Linked DNA regions of Caenorhabditis elegans. The protein of the gene in region 2 interacts with the protein of the main gene of each other region in a pairwise test. Each region holds a gene or a part of one and is shown on either strand. Other genes may lie near its edges. The genes, in order: R11F4.2 and F09C8.2.

The links.
Region 1: the proteins of F09C8.2 (region 2) and R11F4.2 interact in a two-hybrid assay, tested with the Caenorhabditis elegans proteins (one large-scale study listed by BioGRID).

What each region holds. Positions count from the first base shown.
Region 1 is NC_003280.10:4,080,323-4,089,531, reverse strand, and holds R11F4.2 (G-protein coupled receptors family 1 profile domain-containing protein), read right to left. Parts: upstream 6,479-9,209; 5' UTR 6,440-6,478; coding exon 6,329-6,439; intron 5,881-6,328; coding exon 5,420-5,880; intron 4,860-5,419; coding exon 4,601-4,859; intron 4,548-4,600; coding exon 4,461-4,547; intron 4,257-4,460; coding exon 4,171-4,256; coding exon of another isoform or gene 4,167-4,170; exon of another isoform or gene 4,144-4,166; intron 3,599-4,143; coding exon 3,391-3,598; 3' UTR 3,235-3,390; downstream 1-3,234.
Region 2 is NC_003284.9:16,138,834-16,150,531, forward strand, and holds F09C8.2 (C3H1-type domain-containing protein), read right to left. Parts: upstream 8,190-11,698; 5' UTR 8,102-8,189; coding exon 8,037-8,101; intron 7,798-8,036; coding exon 7,370-7,797; intron 7,147-7,369; coding exon 6,893-7,146; intron 5,494-6,892; coding exon 5,374-5,493; intron 4,720-5,373; coding exon 4,512-4,719; intron 4,330-4,511; coding exon 4,072-4,329; intron 4,024-4,071; coding exon 3,222-4,023; intron 2,692-3,221; coding exon 2,538-2,691; 3' UTR 1,674-2,537; downstream 1-1,673.

The DNA.
Region 1 (9,209 bases), on a different chromosome or scaffold from region 2:
CGGAGAACGTTTGAGCACAGAGAAAAAGATAGAAAATGTCTTTGAAAAGACAAATTAAAACATTCGGTGCATCTGCACCGCGGGCAATTGATGGGGTGATAGTGGCGGAAAATGATAAGAGGAGACACCACACAAGAAAAATGCTTGTGTATTGTTACAATGAGAGAGAAAAAAATGAAGAAATGAAGAAAAAGAAAAAGATGATGGAAAAGGGGAGGGGGACGCGTTTTTCTTCTTGCAGAACAGGCTGAAGCCACGTGGGAAGGCATTCTTGTATGTGACGTTATTGGTTTTTGAAACCGGAAATGGTTATGGTTTCGGTTTTTTTTTTCAGCTTTACAAGGGGTTTTAGGCTTCAGGCTTGTCTCTAAAGTTAGATTTTGCAGAAAAAATTACAGAAAATGTGGGGTTTCAATCCCAAACAAGCCCAGTTTCAGTGTAAGTGCAAATATTTCCAGCCAAAGTTTGTAGTTTTCTTTATGGATTATGAAGCTTGATTTTGCTTTAAATATCGATCGACAAAACCCAACCCGCTAGATGTCAGTCGCCTTAATTTTTCCAGAGATAAATTTGTTCCAAAGTCAGGCAGGTAGGCGGGCAGGTATGTTAAGCTGCAATTCCACAAAAAACCCTTTTCAGTGTTTTCACTTCAATACATAGTAAACATTGAAAAAAATTGAATTTGAACGGTTGTGACGTCACACAATTCAAAACAGAGATTTCCCGCGTTTATCGTAGATCAAACTTTCTGAAAACTGTCTCACTGTTTTTTAGATCTACTTTATCCTAGAAATTTTTTTTTTTTTGTCAGTTTTTCCAATTGCCACGCTACACATCGATCAACTTTTATCGTGAAATTTTATTTTTAGATGGAAAGGGAGGGATAGGAAAACTGGAGAAATTGAAAGAAAAAAGTTGAGTTTTCAGTTTTCTTCAAATGGTTCAGTGGAATCAATATTCCAAGAAGGACAAGAAAAGTAGAATTTCAGTATTTTCTACAATGGACAATTGTCAATTACAAAAAGTAAGAATACGTTTTGGGCAACATTTTATTAGTTGTAAGGTTGCCTGTAAAGTGTCTTGTTTTTGAGTTATAGGTTGTTGAAATCAAGACGTTTGCCGTGAAGTTTGCCGGATTGCCGATTTGCCGGTAATGTTGTTTTTCGGCAGCTTGCCGATTTGCCGCTTGCCGAACATCAATTGGCCGCAAGATTTTTTAAAAGACGGAAATTTTTAAATCTCTGCCTTTTTGAAATTTTTCCCATTTTTTTTCTAAATATTTTTAAAAATAGATTTAGGAACGTTAGGATAGAATTTTGCCGATTAAAATTGAAATTCTGAAGTTTCCAAAAAAAAAAGTTATTTGCCGTAAATTTTCGGTAATTGCGGTTTTCCGGCAAATTCAGCGATTAGCAAATTGCCGGTTTTCCGATTTGTCGGGAATTTCCATTTCCGAAAATTTTTTGATTTATCGATTTGTCGATGAAAATCGTTTGCCGCCCACCCCTGGTTGAAATTGCTTTAAAATTTAAAAACCATTTATATTTTGGTAGCTGAAAATTGATCTTCTCTATTTTCTCCTATTTCCAATTGTTGTTTCCCATCTCAAATCTCAGCACTTTTTCGTCTAAAAAGTACCTGAAAACTTTGCATTTTTCCCGATTCCAACAGGTTATTCTACTGGAGTAAAGCAATAACAATTGTCACTAATGACACTTTTGAAAGTGTTCAATACTCTCTATCTTTATCGAACGATTCACTTTTTGTCTTTATCATCTTTGAAGAATACGAGACAGGGGAAAGAGAGTTAAGGGGGGGGGGGGGGAAGTGATAAATGATACGGGGCCCTTCGAGTACAGCTGTTGGAGGAAGATTTTGAGAAAAGATTCTTGTTGAGCATTTGAACTTCGAGGGGAGCCACGTCAATGAAATGACGTGACTTGTGAAAAACACAAAATGTTTAGGAAAATAAAGAAAATCTTTTGAACATCTTGAGATATTCGTTTGAATCAGAAAGGGTCCCGAAGCGAGAATCGGTCTGACCTCGGATTCACAAAGTTATCATTGAACAGACGTCAAATCAAGGATTGATCCTATCAAAAAGGGTCTTTAAACGAAAATGGATCCCGCAGCGAAAGCAATTTTTGTATGATTTTTGAACACTTTTTGAATCGATCGCTTTTTTTTCAGACTTTACACCCTTTTTTCTGCAAAAAAATGTCTGCCTTTTTCTTGTCGAACAAAAAAAACCCAAAAAAAATTCATAAAACCTACGAATTTGATTTTTGAAAGTTTCAATCTATCATTCATCAGTCTTCTTCACATTCCGCTTCTACAAATGATAAGCCATTATCACAAAGAGTACGGTAGAATGGGACATCATTTCACGTGAACTGTGCCCGTCCACACGTGAAATCGAGCGGTGAACAATGAACAAAAACAGCAAAATACACGTGGAAAAGTCCTGGTTAGAAGGAGTTTTGTGGGAGCTTTAGTGGAAATCAGTGAAACTATTAAACATAATAAAATGTTGAACTTTTGTTTTAAGTAAGGCTCTGAAACCACCTGAAATCGATGAAAAATGCAAAATTTGAAGTTTGAAAATTTGAAATGCAAAATTTGAATAGAAAAAAATTTGAAGTCCTGTTAAATGTCGGCTGGTAAAAGTAGTGCCTGTAAAATGTCGGCTGCTCGAAATTGGGCCTGTAAATGGAGAGACGCATGGAGACGCATGCGCCTTACAATTTTAGCTGTTTTGATAATTACCTGTGAAACCTCGGCCGCTAAGCACAGTACCTGTAAAATGTTGCTTGTTGAAAGAAGTGCTTGTGAAACGTCGGTTGCAGAGAATAGTACACACCTTTAAAGTTTCGGCTGCTTGAACTAAAATCTTCAATATATCAGCTGCTTTGGTTAATTCGAAAAAAGCTCAGATGGTCACTCCGAACTGACAAGAAAGCGCTCCTGTCTTACAAAATTTTAATTTTTCCAGCGGCCGACATCTACCGGGCTTGTTCAATTTGAAAAATCTAATGCAGTAAGCTTGCTGAAATTAGGGTCCCCCCTTACTTGTAGATCAAATTTTTCTAGATCAAAACTTCAATTTTAATTTTAGCAGGTTTTGAAGAAACCCCCAGTGTCTGTCTCCCGAAGTTTTCACCAAGTAAGACATGAAAGAGCATCCGGTTTTTAATGAGATGTGAATCTGATAGTTTTTGTGCAAAACCCCATTCAGAATAAACATACCAATTTATTTTCGCTATTTTACCCCGTGATATTGGTCATATGTATGATGAGAGAGGAGAAGAAAAAGTAAAGTATACAATCCAGAAAGGAAAAAAATAATGAGGTGGGTGAGGAGAATGTGCAAATATATGGAGCCGCTTCTTCTCAAACCATATATGGAATCTCTTCATCGTCGTCGTCGTCGTCGGTTTCCTCGTCTCCAGATGTGGTCGCGTGGTGGTTTGAGATGACGTATGAGTCGTTGGCCTCTTTGGTGCCTCCACCTCCGAAGACGAGCTCACTCGAGAGCAGCCTTCGAGCAATGGCAATTGCTACAGCATCGATTTCGGTTCCGATTTGGCGGGAGGAGTCGCTGAAAGAAGTATATGTTAACTGGAAGATAAAATGGTAGGATGATAGCTGGTGGCTCGTAAAGTGTCGGCCGCGGAAACGAGACGGCAGCCGACACCTCGTAAGCTTGGCTAGCTAGGCGAACGCTAGCTTTGCTGGCCTGTGAAATGTCGGCTGCAATCTGCTGCGGACACCTCACGTGCCAACCCGGTCCTGCATACGCCAGCCTGGCCCATGAAGTGCCGGCTGCAGTCAATGGGCTGCGGCCGACATCTTACTGGATTGGTAAAAGTGTGTGCGCCTAGAAGTAAGCTTGTGACGGAAAGTTATTAGGAGGAGAGCAAAGAGAGTCTGGGAGATAGAAGTTTGAGATACAGTAGACATGCGAAATAGATAGCAGAAGTTCAACTACTTTAATTTTCCCCTACTTTTGCTGATTTCTCACGATGCCGGTCTGTCTTGGACCGAGGAATGTTAGGGCGCCCACTACCGCCAACGGCATGGATTGTCTGAAAGAGAGAACGGGACTCAGTGACAGGGTGATGGATAGGTTTCAGATTTCTGCTTACGAAAAATTGATTTAGACAAACTTACAAGCTTCGGGTTACTGTAACATAGTCCTGCTTGCGAGGAGCACTCGTGCTGTGGCAGACGAGAGGTTTGATGGCTTCGCGGATTTCCTGGAATCTTTGGTTTTTTTGTTAAATTTTATGAGAATTGGAAAAGGTTCTGAGAGAAGTTTAGATGCATAATTTTTGCTGTGAAATTTATGAAATTGGAATTTCTAAAACTCGGAAAAAAATCAGAAAATTTTGGCGGGAATCCAAGAAATCAGGCATTTTTTAAAGAATTTTTCAGATAAAATTAAAAAAAAAAAAACCTACCTGATTGAACAAATAATATACAAAAAGACGCGTGGCACACACCAGAATGTAGAGTACTGACGTCACATCGGTGCAAGTTTCGTAGAACTGAAATTGGGAATTGTAGTTTGTAGTTTGCTGTTTGCAACTTTTCAACATACCGCATAAGCGTCTCCGGTTTGTGTTGATTGAAATGCCACGTACTCCCACAGTGTGACACCGACGTTTAGAATATTCGCGAGAAGATACGAGAAAACGATACATACCATCAAAATTGTTGCCGATCGGATTTTCGTCTTATGATCACTTGATAGAAAACGGAACATTTGCGCCGATCTCTGCTGCATTCGAAGAATTTTCACGACTTTGTAATTAAGAATGGCCAGCAGAACGAAGGGTACCAGGACTGTCATGATGTTTCTGAAAGATTTTTTTGGCTTGGTATTTTATTTTTTTAAATAATTGTTTTAATATAACTTTTTTGATGCTTGAATAGAGACAAAATTGAGCAGAAAAAGGATACGGAAAACTTTAAATTTTTTTATTTTCAGCAAGTTGTAGGTCTGATTTCATGGTTTATACATCTGCCTTGTGCCTACACTCATGCCTATTGCCAAAAGTACAGAAAAATAGGCGGTAGGCAGGCAAGTAGGTAGGCGACCTAGTTTTGAAAAACTTTTGGTTAAAAACAATACTTTGTTATAAAAAAAATGTTCCAGAGTTTTCCATTTTCTGAAATTTCGATAAATTCCTTTTGAAATTTCAAGTACTTTTTTAAGTCTAATTATTCAAAATTAGGTCAAATATGCAATTAAAAAATTGAAATTATATTTTTTTTTCTATTTTTTGTTGATAATTTTAGTTTAAAATAAATTTTAGATTCAAAAATATCGGACAAACAATTTTTTTTTAATTTCAAAAATTTTCAGTTCATTTCTCTCTGTAATTTCTCCAATTTTTCAACAAATCCCTGCACCTACCTGACATAAAACCGGTACACAGTTCCATACCAAAACGTGTTCACAATCGGCGACAAGTTCAAATAGTACTCGCTAATCTCGCCAATACAATCGGGATTCTGTTCTATTTGCATTTCGAAAATGATGGGCGCCCTGAGCAACAGAGCCAAAATGAACATACAAAGTGCAGAGAGTCCCCGGCATTGTCGAAATGTGCCGAGGCATTTTGCGCGTAGTGTGATCAGATATCGCTCGATGGTCGCCAGGATGATCAGGTAGCATGAGAAAGTCATTGAGGTTTGTGAGAGAGCAAGTAAGGGTCCCACGTATTGAATATAAAGATTTGAGAGCCAACGCAGTTTCACACGATCTTTGATTATGTCCATTGCTATCACGGGACCGTAGTTTAGAGATAAGAAGCAGTCGGATAAGGCGAGTAGGGCTAGGAAGTAGAAGTGCGTGTGCTTCGAGGATAGTAGGACCTGGAAATTAAAAAGATGTTTTCTTATTGCAGACCCGATCGCCTTGCTGATTGGTCAGGCTAACAATTGGACCAATCACAGGCGCTGGCCCCTCCCCTACCTCATCGTTCATTGGTCGCCATACGATTTACCCAAAACATTTGAAATTTCGTGTGAAGAACATGGGTTTTTGGCAATTTTGTTTATAACTCTCAAAGTTGTTTTAAACTCTCTCAATTTTTCAACTTTTTTTAAAAGAATTTTTGAATATTTCTAATACGTTTTCTTATGTCTTTTTTCCGACAAATCTTGAATGAAATTATTTTTAAAAGACCACACTTTTTTTAGTGGAAAAGCAAAATTTTAAGTTTTTCGAAAATAAAATCAATTTTAAAAGACAAAAATTTTCGTCAAATTAAGCTGAATTAAGCATTTTCCAATTAAAATCAAAACTATGAAAAACACTCACTTTTGATATCAACATATTTGAAACAATTGATAAAACCGATAATGATGTTCCACAAACTGCTACCAGGTACCATCGTCGATCCAGGCTCTCCACCATACACGCCTCGCTCATTGCTGCTGTTTCTGTGATGTTCATTTTGCTGAAAACTTGAATTTTTGAGTTAAGGGCTGTCAATAGAGATGAGATTAATTACAAGATAGATAGAAAATCGAATTTTTAACAGTTTTGCAGTTGGAAATTTTCAACTTGCTCAAATATTCGCTGACTATGAGTTTCGTTAATTTGAAAATGAGGGAGTAAGAGAAAGGGAGAGGGAGAGGGCAGAGGTCAGAGATACAGACGCTCTCGCTGTCTGCGTCTTCCCTTGTTTTTCATATTTAAAACATCGGTATATCTACTTGAAAAGAATAAATTTTAAATTTTTATTTTTTGCAAAAAGCTGCAATTTCATTTGTAAAACACCGATCAAAAAAATTATAACATTTTTTTCTTTCAAAATAACTTTTTTACAGCTCAAAATTGAGGGGTTATGCACCCAGTGAAGCCAATTCTAATCAATTTTAGGTCCGTCCACATCCTAAGTAGTTTCCATTAAAATTTGCATAGAGAAAAAAATGAGAAAAAAGGATAAGAGATAGATAGAGACATCTCTTTTCCTAGAATCAAACATCAATTTGATTTCCTTTGAAATTGGTAGGTAGGTCAAAAAGGACCACCCGGGTTGAGCTTTTCGTAGCAAAAAAAGTAAGAAAATGGAACAAAATCGGGGAAGAAAAGTTGCAATAGATGAGTGGGTGCTCTTTTTGTTGGGTGATGGCGTGAGAGAAAAACCGCTCTTAAAAGAATAGAATGAAAAGCTCAGAAATCTGGGGGAAACCGGATGACGCATAGAATATTACTATCCAAAAAGCCGGAACACTCGGCAATTCGGCAACAGAATTGTTTTGCTCCTTTTTGAAAACTTCAATGTAGGTTTATTAATATTCGTTTTTAAAGTCCCTGCAGGCTAAACCCTGTGAGCATAAGCCTAGCCTAAACCTAAGCCAAAGCCTAAGCCTAAGCTTAAGTCTACGCCTATGTCTAAGCCTAAGCCTATGCCTAAGCTTAAGCCTAAGCCTAAGCCTAAGACTAAGTCTAAGTCTAAGCCTAAGCCTGAGCCTGAGCCTAAGCATAAGCCTAAGCCCAAACTTAAATCCAAGCCTCAGCCTAAGCCTAAGCCTAAACCTCAGTCTCAGCCTAAGTTTAAGCCTCAGTCTAAACCTAAGTCTAAGCCTAAGCCAAAGCCTCATCGTAAGCATTTTGAGAAAAAATCAAACACCTCGTAGCAAAGAGCAAGGAAGTTGGAAATGAAAATTGTCGTGTTTTTCTCAACTTTTCAAAAAATCTCAGAACATGTTTTTCAAAATAAAGTGGGTGGGTGTCGGTGGGGGTGTGGGGATATTTGCAAGGTAATTATTTTCAGGTTTTCCCGAAAATTTGGCGCTTTTGAAATTGAAAATTGGCTGGAAATTCGAACAAAAAACACTGAGTGAATAAATAGCACACCGCCAGACAGGGAAATTGCGGGTTTTCAAACAAAAATTTGTTCGGAATTTGAAGACATACAAGGACCCAACAATGACATACACATACACACACAGACACAACAACAGAAGAAAGAGCAGATCCAAAGAATTCGAAATGAGATGAAATGTTTCATATATTCATGTGTGTTGGAGAGCACTGCCTGCTCTTTTTTTGGGGCGGAGCTCACGGATGAGTTGGGGTTGGCTCCGCCGCCGAGGCATCTTCTCCTTTGCAGAATAGAATGGAGGAATTGAATCAGATGAAGATGAAAGGCGAGAGCTCGCCGAGCACACACACGTCGAAAAAGTAGAGAGGAGGTGACGTGGCAGGGGGGGGGGGGGGACGTCAAAATTGGCGGGTGATCAGTGCCAGTGATCTACAAACGGCTGAAAACCTTTTCCTTTTCAGGCTCTACGCAACACGTGGATTTTCACAGATGTTTTAGATCGTAAATGTAGTTTAAATATCTATGATCTTTGAAATGAATTACTTTCTAGGTACCTGCCTACGTGCCTGCCTACCGCTTATTTTTTGAATTCTAACGTGATTTTTCCTATTTTCAGCTCTGCCTACCTACATTTTTGCCTACATCCCTGCTAAGTTGCACCATTGCCCACCTTTATATCAGTCAGCCTACGTACCTACCTACCGAAAACCATGCTTACCTACACTACTGCCTACCTAGATAACTGCCTATGTACTTGCCTACCAAAATCTATGCCTACTTTTATACCTGCCTACCTTTGTGCCTACCTACCCAGTCTATCTATCGCTTTGTTTTTACATACCTACCTACCTACTTTCCGAAAAGGAATAAGGAAGTTTTGAGAAGTAAAAGTTTACATTCAAAATCAGAAAGGTTTTTGAACATGATCTTATTTTTAATTTGGAAAAATGAAAAATTGAAAAACACAGGAAAATAAGAAAACTGAACAGGAAATTGAAAAATAAAAAGGAACAACAAAATTAAAGATTGTTTTCAAGTTTGAAGGAACTGGAAGTAAGAAACTTGAATTGACAATAGGTTGACTACAAGCCTACGCGCCTGCCTACAGCCAAAATTTACTTTTTTACTTAAAGCCAATTAAGACGTGAAAAGTGGTAATTTGTGATTTAGACGTAGGTAGGCATTGGTCAGGCAAGTATTTTCGTTCCTGTCTGACCTTTGGCAACGCAGAATTGAGCTATGTGTCTGATGAAATGACATCAAATCAGGGGTCACCGTCATCTTCCTCAAACTTAATATGTAAATTATTAGTGAGAATCAAGGGAATCCATCAGTGTACTCCTCTCGCACTTCTTCATCTAACTTCCT
Region 2 (11,698 bases):
AAAAACTCGAATTGAGGGCCGCAGGCCCGAATACACGAAGAAGTGTTGGAGATCCGTCAAGCCTATTTTAAACAAAAAAATTTGACAAGTGAAAATTTTTATTTCTAAAATTAATATTAAACTAAATTTGGCCGGTCTTGACAAACTTCAGCACATTTACTTAGCATTTACTCAACACTTGACTAAACTTTAATAAAGCGAATTATTCTTGAGTTACTCTACGCCGAACCAAACTGCGAAGCCTAGCAAATCTCCGATTTGCTAGTCTTGATTTCCGGTATTGAAATATCTAACTTGGTTTTAGAAAAGAGTTTTATTGAAAATAGATTGATATAAATACGTAAACTAGCACTATTTATGAAAAAGATTTGCTCAATTTTTTTTAATTCCAAAATTTTTTATGTGAACCTATCTAAATATGAGAATGAAGTACTAGTGCGTAGTTGCTAAGTGGAAATCAGGCTTGATTTTTATTTCAAAATTTTTAGATTATTTAACAAACAATATTGGTTAGGTATTAACAAAACAAATTAAAAATGGAGTGTAGGTACTGTAAATCAAGTAAATTTTTTGCAAAATATTATAGTTCTCTAACGGAAAATACTCTATACCTGAGACATTTTTCATGCATTGATCATAGAAAATTAAACATAACCTCGCTAATCTTCACAGAGTCTTCCAGAGTTCTAATAATAATGCTCAAAACATCTCGAAAACATGCTGAAAAATAAACCAAAAAAAATGTGCACACATTAGCAGTAAACTAAAAATGTCTTGTCTAAAATGGGAATTTGCGTCATGCGTTTGCATCATGTTTTCTTTCAAATTATCTGTTAACTCATACATAGCTAACACTATTTTTGGAACACGAAGATGAAAGTTTAAGAACCAGAAGCTTGTGATGGAAACATTTCAAATTCATGAGGAAGTGAGAAGTGGCTCACAAACTAGAAAATATGAAGCCTTTGAAGAGCTTCGTTTTATCTTCTTCTTTTTTTTTCAACTTACATTTTTCTATTTATTTCTCTATTTGTCCAGAAGGGGACTGAAAAGTATTCGAATATAAACACTGTGCCAAGATAATTTTGGCTGACATCGTAGCTTACAGATTCATTTTTGAAAAAAGTTTGTAAAATACAGGTCCAGAGAGTTTTGACAGGTGAAGAAACACAGGCAGCAGGGGTGCGAGGCAATCCAAAATTTCCGGCAATCTACAATTTCGGCACTTGCCGGTTTTGGGAAATTTCGGCAATCGGTAATTTCGGCAATATTCAAATTTGCCAAAATTGCCATTTGCCAGACATTTTCGGCAATTTTCAAACCCTATATTTCGGAAATTGAAAATGTTTCACTTTGTTTTTTTAGTATTCGGCTAGTCATTTTCTAAAACAAAACCGTCAATTCTTCAATGAGCTTAAAAAGAGAAAATGTTTCATTAAACTCATATTTTTCAAAATTTTAGCACTTTGCCAAAACTTTGACCGGAAATTATGAAAAATATGAAATGTTTTGGAGTGTTTTATTAATAATATAGGTCGCTTTGGATCATTATAAGTCTATTTCTAAAAAATTCTCACTGGCTATTTGTCGGGTGAAATTAAATGCTAAATGAAGAAAAAAAATCGTCGGTAGTAAGTATCTGAAAATAAAAAAGTAGGAGAAAAACAAGCATTCATTTTGAAATTTTTATTCGTTTTGAACGTTATATTACTGTTGTCATGCAATTTGCATTTGAATAAATTCCAATAAACGGTGCATTGAGTTTAGAAATTTTCCAAACAATGCAAGGGGGAAGGCCGAATATTTTGAAAATATTGACCAAATCGAAAGCCCATGAAAACAATAAAAGAAAATGTGCTGGGAAATGTTGGGACATTCAAAGTGCGAACAATTTCAACACTTGACATTTCAAGAGGGGAAATTCGAACATACTATAAAATAGTGTTAAATGTTTGTGGGGGACAAAGGAGAGATTTTGACTGATCGCAAAAATTGAATAATTTTTGATTTTTCAATAGTCAAAATTCACTCAACAAAAAATTCTTCGGGGGAAAACAACAATTCTTGGGGCTATTAACATTTTTTTTTCTTCGGGTGGAGTTTTTATGATTATGTTTTGCTTTTTTTGAGTTTTACATGGTGTGAAGGGGGCACAAAAGTGTGAGCTTACAGCAATTACAAAAGACAAAAGAAAAAAAAAGAGAAATGAGTAAAAATGATGATTTGAAATTAGAATAGAAAAAAAAAGAGAAAATGTGGTATGGGTGGGTGGGAGAAAAAGAAGATCTAGAGGGTACTGTCCTGGGTACTATCAGGTTGCAACTACGCTCTAATCGGCACTAAAGCGTTGGAACAATTGAAAAAAAATTATTAGAGTGAAGTTTCGAACCTGAGTTATCAGAACGGTAACGGCATGGAGAGCGTTCGGTTGAGGGGGCAACAAATTTTAAATCCGAGACGTCTTTCTTTTTTTTTTTGAAATGTGAGCTTTTTTTTTTGAAAATGATATTTTGTAAATGAGAAATTATTTGTTGGACTCAATCCCATTGGATTGTGTTTTTCTTGGCGGCTTTTGCAGCGGCAAGCTGCTTTCGTTCCTCTTGTCGCTTTTCCGTAGATACGGTGGCTTTCTTGCCAAGTGCATTTTCAACCATCCGGCGGGCGACTGTCGCAGTGGTTTGCTGCTTTTTTCTAAAAAAAAACGTTGTTTTATTATAGCATAACATGAGCAAACTGTTAATAAACTTCAGATCGTAAAATATTGACAACGCATACGTGGTATCAGGCTGTCCCATTACGGGTTGATCTACAAAAAATGCGGGAATTTTTTGGTCAAAAAAGTGCGACGTCAGCACGTTCTTAACCATACAAAATCAGTTGAAAACTCTGCGTCTCTTTTCCCGCATTTTTTGTAGATCTACGTAGATCAAAGAGAAATGGGACACTCTGACACCATGCGCGCGCAATGAAAAGCTGTCACAAAATTAGAGACTTTAAAAATTAGATACCAAAGTGAGACACAAAATTTGAGATTACTGAACCACGCACAAAACGCCTACAAGCCACGCAGGAGCCTGCCAGCCGCTGCAAACCAAGGGCTCCTGCGTAGTTTGTAGGTGCGTGGTTCAGTTTAGGAAGAGAGATTATTGCTCTACATTTTTGATTCCGAGTTTATGTCAACTTTCCATTTACTATAGTCCTTCAAAACCTTCAAAACTAACTTTAGAATTCCCAAACTAGCTGCATTGGTTTTCGCAGAATCCTGCACAACCTTCGGCGAATCCGCCAGACTCCGGAATCGCAGCCAGTCATGTTTCGACAAAGTCAGACAATTTTTGGCTCGGTTCACACTTTCAAAGACGGCAAACACCACTTTTCGCTCCATCCACATCACCTTGCAATCGCCGTTTCCAATTGTTTCCATTGCCTTCACAACGTCTTCCTGCATTTTGTAGTCCGGGACTCCATAGATTTCCAGCACATGCTGGAGAAACGCTGTATCCCAATCCGAGTTTCGTTGCGGCGGTGGTGGAGCTTTTGACATTGATTGCGCTTTTTTCTCTTCTTTTTTCTTATCCTTCAGAAGGTTTTCCATGCGAACTGTCAAATCATCATCGTCGGCAGTTTCCCAGTCGTCTAGGACACTCATTGTGAGAGGCTCGCTAGACTTTGCCTTTTCCAAACTTTCCGGGTCGTTGCAAAACAGGTTTCTTGCCACAGGCTTTTTGGGCGCGCTGAGTACTGCCGCGCGATCAATGATCTCCTTTTTGTTGGAGAAAAGATTGGAGATGACGTCTAGCGCAAGCTTTTGGCTTTCCGATTCAAGTTCTTGATCTGATAGTCTGGGAGCCTTGATTGGAGCAGCTGGGACTTTTGCAGGTTGGGAAGGCTTCTTCGTTGACGTCAAAAGTTCTGGTACAGAAACTGGAACTGATACAGTCACAGGTGGTATTTGCGGTGGTGCCGGAAGTGGTTGGAATGTGTCGAGGAGCAGCGGAAGAATGTCCCTATCACTATCGTAATCTGAAACATGAGATGATAAAACTGGACGTGAGCTTTAAAAACACTTACCGTATCTAGTATTCAGACTAATTGGTGGATAGAAACCTTCAGGTGCTTGTGGCTGTTGCTGCTGATGTTGTTGTGGTGGTGGTGGCTGATATTCTACAAAATTTCCTTCGTAACGCTGGTTCTCTTGGAAACGCGTCAAGTGCGGAGGTTGCTGTGGGAACGCCGGGAAGGCAGATAATCCGATGGCTCGTTGCGGCGGGTTGTGGACGACTTCGCTGAGCTTCTTTTGGAGCAACGCGTCCGAGTTTGGTGTGAGCACTGAAAAAGTGTGTTTTTGTAAATCAGCTGATTCGGCCAATCTTATTTTTTGTAAGTTCAGAAATAATGATTCCTAAATTAAATTTTAATGATTCCTAAATTAAATTTTAATCATTTTGGGGTGCAGATACACAAGTATTTTTAGGAATACAATGACAGCACGAAACAAAATAAAAACTTACGAGGAGTAAATCCAGCAGGATCCTGACCCGTCGTTTGCAAAAACAGTGGTGATGTCTTGGAAATGGGAGATGTGATGTCCGATGTTGTCGGCTGTTGCTGCTCCGGTTTCAGATTCTGAGCGGCAGCCGTGAACTTTTGCGCGTACGCAGGACGGGATGCCGGCGGCGTCGGGGCTTTCGTACTTCGATGGGAGAACGTTGTAGTTGGCTGAAAATCGATACATTAGATTCGGGAAATGTATAAAATTAAAGAGGGAAAGGCAAATGACATAGTCGGTAAAGAGAAAAGGTATTATTCCTTTTTATATTAATGTAAGGTTTCAAAAATTGCAGTACGCTTTGAAAATATATATTGTTGAAAATACACAGTGAAAAGTTCCTAGCCAAGCAGCCCGGAAATGGAAAATCCCTTTTTTATTCCGATCGGGAAAGCACAATCGTCCGTGCAAAGTGGGAAAAGTGGCAACAAAGAGCAATGGCATTTTTTCTACGAGCTATCAATTTTCACTTGATTCAATAATTCAGTTTTTGTTAAGTTGCCATCACATTAGAGTTGAAAAAAATGACTAAAAAACCACGAAAGCATGTGAGTGAGAGTGTGTCACCAGGCATGAGGAATGAGGGCAGGAAAAGAAAAAAAGACTTAAATTGATATAGAGCCATGCACACGCGTTGTTCCTTGATTCAAAAAATGTATAAAAATCGATAACGTTGGCAAAAGTGTGTGTGTGTGTGTGTGTCTATGCGAGTGTGTTGGTAAGGGAGGGTGCCCCTCGTCTCTTCACCCGCACACACATACACACACACACACACACCCGACTAGAGGTCATCTATTGTTTTGTTGAAGATGGCTGCTACCTACCCTCGAATCACTGTCGTCGTTGTATTCCGTGTCGTCGGTGGTGCCGGTGTGGAGGAAGATGTCAATGTCATCAGAGAGCTGATACCTCGGAGTCGGCTTGTGATTGTTGATTAGCTCCACCTGGAAATATGTGCGGTTTTGGAGTTGTACAGTTGCAGACACAGACAGAAAATAGACTCTTCTAATAATAGTTTCTTATCAGCGCAATCCTACAATGTGAAAATAAATAGTGGAAATAAAATTCTAACTTCACTGGTAGCTTGATAATTTAAATCACTTCACAAAAAAGCCATGTAACCGACCGGTAAATTGACTACTGAGTCGAGCCCAGTCTTGATCTACGGAACACGTCTATCAACGCGCGGTGTCAGGCTCTCGATCACATTTTGATTAGGGTTCCCAGCTGAGTGAGGCGCAAAATGCGGGCCTAACGCCGACGCCGAGCGCCGCTGTGTGTTGTAACTAAGTTTGAAATGTGGTTATTTGGAAGCGGCAGACACATTCGGGGTTTCGCTACTTGGCGTGAAATGAGTAACATGGTGTGTGTGCAGCGAAGTGCAAAGTGTGGCTATTTGGAAGCGGCCGACGCGATCGGGGTTCCGCGCCACATGCGGCGTGGGTGACGTCGTGAGGCCGGCACGGCGACCGCCGAGGCCGGCGGAGGCGCCGTTGCGGCGACCTCGCGGGAGCCCTAGTTTTGATTTACAATAAATACTGGAATTTTTTCCAAAGTTGAGCGTAGCACGTTCTTAACCGTGAAGCCTCATTTGAAAAGTGTGCGTCTAGACCCTTCTAAATTCTTGAAATTATCAAAGATCAAACCGAAATTGGACAATTCGACACGATTCGTATCTACTAATTTGAATAATTTTGATGTTGGTATACTATCAGCCTATGCGTCGTTAAAAAAACAGTTGCATGCATCACCTAGGTAAAATATTTGGCAAAACGATCCCTTCAAACTAGTCCACACATTTCTTAAAACTAAAACAAAACTGCGCTATTCCTGTTGTTGTTTTTGTTGTCATTGCACACGGTGTCTCTTGGCACGATGGGTTCTTTTTTTTTCGTCTCGAACCTTTCTCTTGTTTACCAGGGGTCCTAGGACAGTGGTGGTACACATGGAGAATAACTAAACTAAACTGCTAAAGAAGCACGCGGCGCGGGACGACAAAAGGGACACTGACGCACTCTCACCACAACAACTGAAAAAAAAATCGTTTTGGCCTATGTCTCGGCACTCTACTTCTTCTTCCCTTTTCAAATGACAACAACACAATATTAGTTGGTGCGAGGAGGAGAGAGGAGGATGCTGAGCTATGCTGCTGGGTAAACAAACGCAGCGCTGATTCTTGGCTTGATGCCAAGCCCCGGCAGATCACGTCACTTCTCATTTCAGCTGTTTTTCGATAGCTCGACATTTCCTCACACCGCCATAATAATAATAATAATGCAATGAATGATCAACCACCAATAATAATTTCGAAATAAAAAAAATAGCTGGAAAAAAAATGCAAACCTCCAAATCCTCCGCCTCTGCAGTATTCGTTGACGTAGTCGGTGCAAACGAATGAATCGAGAACGTCGGTGACATTGGCTCATATCTCTCGGGCTCTCCGAAAGACTCTTCATCGTCACCATCGTTACCATGTTGGTAGTTTTGTGGATCATCTGGCAGAATCGTAGAATTTTGCGGGCAATACCCAGACTCGTTGTATCCAGAAGGTTCATAGCTGGACGTTGAAGGGTAGCAAACTTCAGAAGAAAGATAATCTGGAAGTTGTAAATTAATGAGTGTAAAATTTTTGCCTAGAAACTGCTGATGGTAAAATCGAGAAAATAAGTATAATTTTGAGCAACAAATTTTTTATCAAAAGCTGATACAGTGGAAAATTCCAACTTTGACATCATATGGAACTTTCTAGTCCAACTCGTCATTTTATTTTCTTAACTATAATATTTTAAAGTTTAATTTTAAATGGTTATTAATACTCACCAGTTTGTGGCTGCTGTTGCAAGTGCATAGCATGCTGCTGCTTCATGGATTGATGCTGCTGTTGCTGCTGCTGCTGCTGATGAAGAGCATGGAACGTTGCTGTCGGTGGAAGTGGCGACATGTTCAACGCCTGATACAGTTCCTCGTCGGAAAACGAGACTCTTGGTTGTGGCGGTGGCGCGAGGTTCGCAGCTTGCATCATAAACATTTGGTTCTGATAGGCAAGTGCTCGTGTATTGTCCATCGCATCTGGCGGACTGCGCTGTTGGTCGACGACGTTGTGCTCCGGCGCCGCCGGGTAGTTGTTGTAGTTCGGCGGTTGATACCAGCCAGACCCGTAAAGCATTGGGTTAGATAACCCGGTGGCACCACTATCCGTGTGGTAGTACTGTGATTGACCCGTAGTATGTGTCCATTCTTCGTTCACTCTAAAAAAAAACAAAGACCTATAGTAAGTCAAGTAAGTCTAAACTCCTATACTGAAAACTTTTTGACTTATCACTTCTGGAAAAGTTGAAAATTTATCATTTAAAAAAATCGATAATTTTCGTGTTTCATTATTAACTTGCTCCTATTGAACTAATCAGTTTGTTTTTTCTTCTAAAATTTTTACAGCTCAACTCAAGACTGTTCAAAAATTAAAAAAAAACAAAAGAAAACAACTCACCCTTGGAGAACCTGTGGCTGCTGAACTTGCTGAACCAAGTTTGAGTTGTAACCGTAGCCGGTCATCATGTTGCTCCCAACGAACGGATGCAGTGGTTTTGTTGTTTCCAACGGTCAATCTAACCACCAGAGTTTAGAGGAGTCGGACGACTACCTGAAATATCATACAATGTTTATATAGTTGCAGCAAATGAGTAACAACGAACGATTGATGAAATATAATCATTGCTGCGAGAAACTGAGGAAGATATTTTTTGTGAAAGTAAATAAAAATTCATGTTTAAACTGTTCTCTAAACTAGTGAACGGATAGTTTCAAAATAGATAGTTTCAAAGTGAACAAAACAAAACATGGAAACAAAACATATGTTCTATCCCACCAAAAACGTACGAACAGGTACTGGTTTGGTTAGTTAGTTAGTTAGTAAGTGAGGGGAGGTCCTGGCTTGCTTGGGGGGCGCGCAAAGCAAATTACATTTGAAAGGTGTTTATATAAGAATTACATGTATCTACCAACTATTTCGCAATACTGTTGTTGCTGTACACGATGGAACAGGGCATAGAATGAGAGAAAAAACTACCCGAGATAGAGGGCAATCGAAAGAGATAGGCACGAAAAAAAAACAAACGAGGGGCGTGGTGACTGAGGAGCAAGAAAAAAAAAGAATGAAGGTGGGTTTGCTCATTTCACTAACTCTGTGTGTGTGTGTGTGTGATAAAAACCACTGAGAGCAGCAGCACCTGACGGACGAATTGAAAAATCTAATATCACTTCCGACGAATGCGTACTTGGCGCCAAAGCGCGCGCGCGCATCGAAGGTCATTAGCTCGCCACCCATAGCAACAAGATGTCGAATCGTTTCGAGGGCGGAGATACAGAGGACAGCTGGGCGAGGCAGGCGTAGACAGGCAGGCAAAAATTGTGTGTGTGTATGTGTGCGGGAGGGCGGCGGAGGACAAGCGGCACGAGCGGTCGAACGAACGAGCGGATGGTGTGGGAAGATGGGGGGAAGAGGAAAGCGAGGAGAGAGAGAGAGAGACATAGAGACAGAGAGAGATTTAGATTCGGTGAGGGCCCCTCTCTCTCTCACTGGGCTATGATGATGCAAGATGACCCATTCAAATGTTGCGCGTACTGGGAAACGAGGAGAGCGCAGAGAAATTAGAGTATGGACAATGAGTGACGAGGAGGACAAGGAAGTGCATGTGTTTTGGAGATGAAATTTGTTTTTAGGAAATTTGAGAACTGGTTGGTGTACACATTGAATTGCAGATGAGTTTTTGCGGTGTTTCAAGCTTGGTGCGGAGCATTATTCATGTGAAAGCAATTAAGGAATGAAGTACTGAAGCCAAAGAAGTTTGATACCTAGTTTCCTAGTTTCCTTTCCGAGCTTCTCAAAAATCACTGTATAAAGTTCAACATCTTTACCACTGTCGCAATACCACGGTAACACAAGACTCTGAAAACCTAAAATGATATCTCAAAAACCAGCACAAATCATGCAATGCATATATAAAAAACGGCATGAAAATGTTCTATATGTTTTCGCTAGAATTCCAGTACACATTTTTTATTTTGTGTACCTTCAAAGCTAGCTCCGTGGAGCGCGTTTGAACTCATTTAAAAGATAAACAGTGTTAAAATTGTCGAAAATCTAAAGTTGAGAAGACTGCTTAAACTCCAACAGAAAAATTAATTCACATTAAAGACGAGAGAAATCGAAGCAATTTGAATGCTATAAAATTAGACAACCTAAAATTGAAAATTACTTGTATAGCAAAACATCACAATGAACTAGTGTTCTCATTATGAACTCGTTTGTAAATTGACAAAAAATTAGATATGAGCCAATAAATTCTGACCTAGTTCACGTGGGTTTACTTTTGAAAATTTATTAAATGCGTTTCAAATGCTTTCAGGGAACACAAATTTGCAACAAAAATAGGCCCAAACTTTTCCAAATAGTGTCTGAAATATGCTCCAAAAGTCGCACATATTATTACGATCAAAAACCCATGTCATTCTCAATTCCATTTCCTATTCAATTTCCTTCTCTCCGTTCCAAAGGACATACAAAGTTCTATAGTACTTGCCACATAATGCCATCACCCTTTTTTTCCAGCTCTCCGCATGACTAATAAGGTCTAAAAGTGCGTTGGTCCTTCCTTTCACACTAATAGTTCCAAAGATTCTCTTGAGAAGAAAACAGCTCAGAAATAAAACGGGGAAGATTGAACGTGGGGGGATAAAAGAACGAAAAAATAAAAAAAACAATTCCAGAGTAGTAGTTCAGAACGAGCAGAGTGACGTTGTACTCGATTCTATTTTCTCCCAGTTTCTAGTTTCCGGTCTCGGCAAAAAAAAAAGTGCAAAGCATTAAGCTCGCAGGGCAGATGCGTGGGTCGATTTGGTCAAGAAATTGTATAAATGCATGGAATCATTGCAGGTAGGGGGAAATAAGAGGGTGTTGAGAAATGAGTCTATGTTGTTTTATTGTGCAGACCTGGCAGGAATATAGATTGGAAGTTCGATTTTTAAATTTTGATTTTAAATTTTGTGAGATTGTTTTATACGGAAAAACTTCATGGATGCAAAATAGCAACTGGAGAATTTGGTAGCTTACTGAACCGCAGTATACATCGAAAAATGGAGCTACCGTATTTCCTCTATTAGTATTGCACCCGACTACTCAACTTTGAAACGTTATATCTCGGTTCGTTTTAAAGATATCAATTTCTTATAAATTGCAAAATGATAGAAAAAGAACTGACAAATATTTTGCCAGTTGACAGTTTTTGAATAGAACAATCGATAACTGAGATATTAGCGGTCAAACATGAACAAATGGGTGCAATAGTAATAGAGGAAATACGATATTTATCTACTAAAGTTAGTGTTTTAAGTGATATTAATTAAAGAGCACCTGATATTTAAGAGAACTGAACTAAATCAAAATCGAAAAATAAGTTGGCTTAAAATTCATTTTTAGCTCGGCTTCAACTTGAGAGCTCAATTGACCGACAGCTCAACAGTCTGGTTTTGTTGAACTTCAAATTGTGATAACATTTAAAAATCATTAATCGAGATTGCAATCTATGTTAATTCCATAATTCCCTACATTTATGTGTCTAACACTGTCTGATCTTGGACAAAAAACATTTTGTTGGAAAAACATCATAGACGAAAAAGTTCCTTGAGCTGGAAAATCCGGCGCAGAAGAACTATAACTACAACAAAGTATTACAAAGTAGCCGCCATCTTCTTTTTCAGTTTTTCACAAATTTTTGTGTTCGAAAAAAGTCATAGGGCACAAAGGCAAGCGGACGAAAAAAACAAGGGGGAGACAAGCGCAAGTCGGTAGAGGAAAGAACGAAGAGGAGGGCAAGGTGGTGTAGGAAGAAGTGATGGCGGGGGGGGGGGGGGGGGGGGTTGACAGTAAGATAGTGTGGGAGACAGTGAGTCGCAGAGAAATTCAGTGAGGTTATGTACAGTGTGTGTGTGAGTGTGTGTGAGCGTGTGTGTATGTTGTGTGTCTGTGACATACTGTGCCCCCTCCACTGTGTGTCGTCTTACTGACCAAGCTCATAAGACAAGAAAACAATGGAGACAAGAGGGTGGTAGATTAGAAACAGACGTATTGATTTGTCAATAAATCGGTAATAT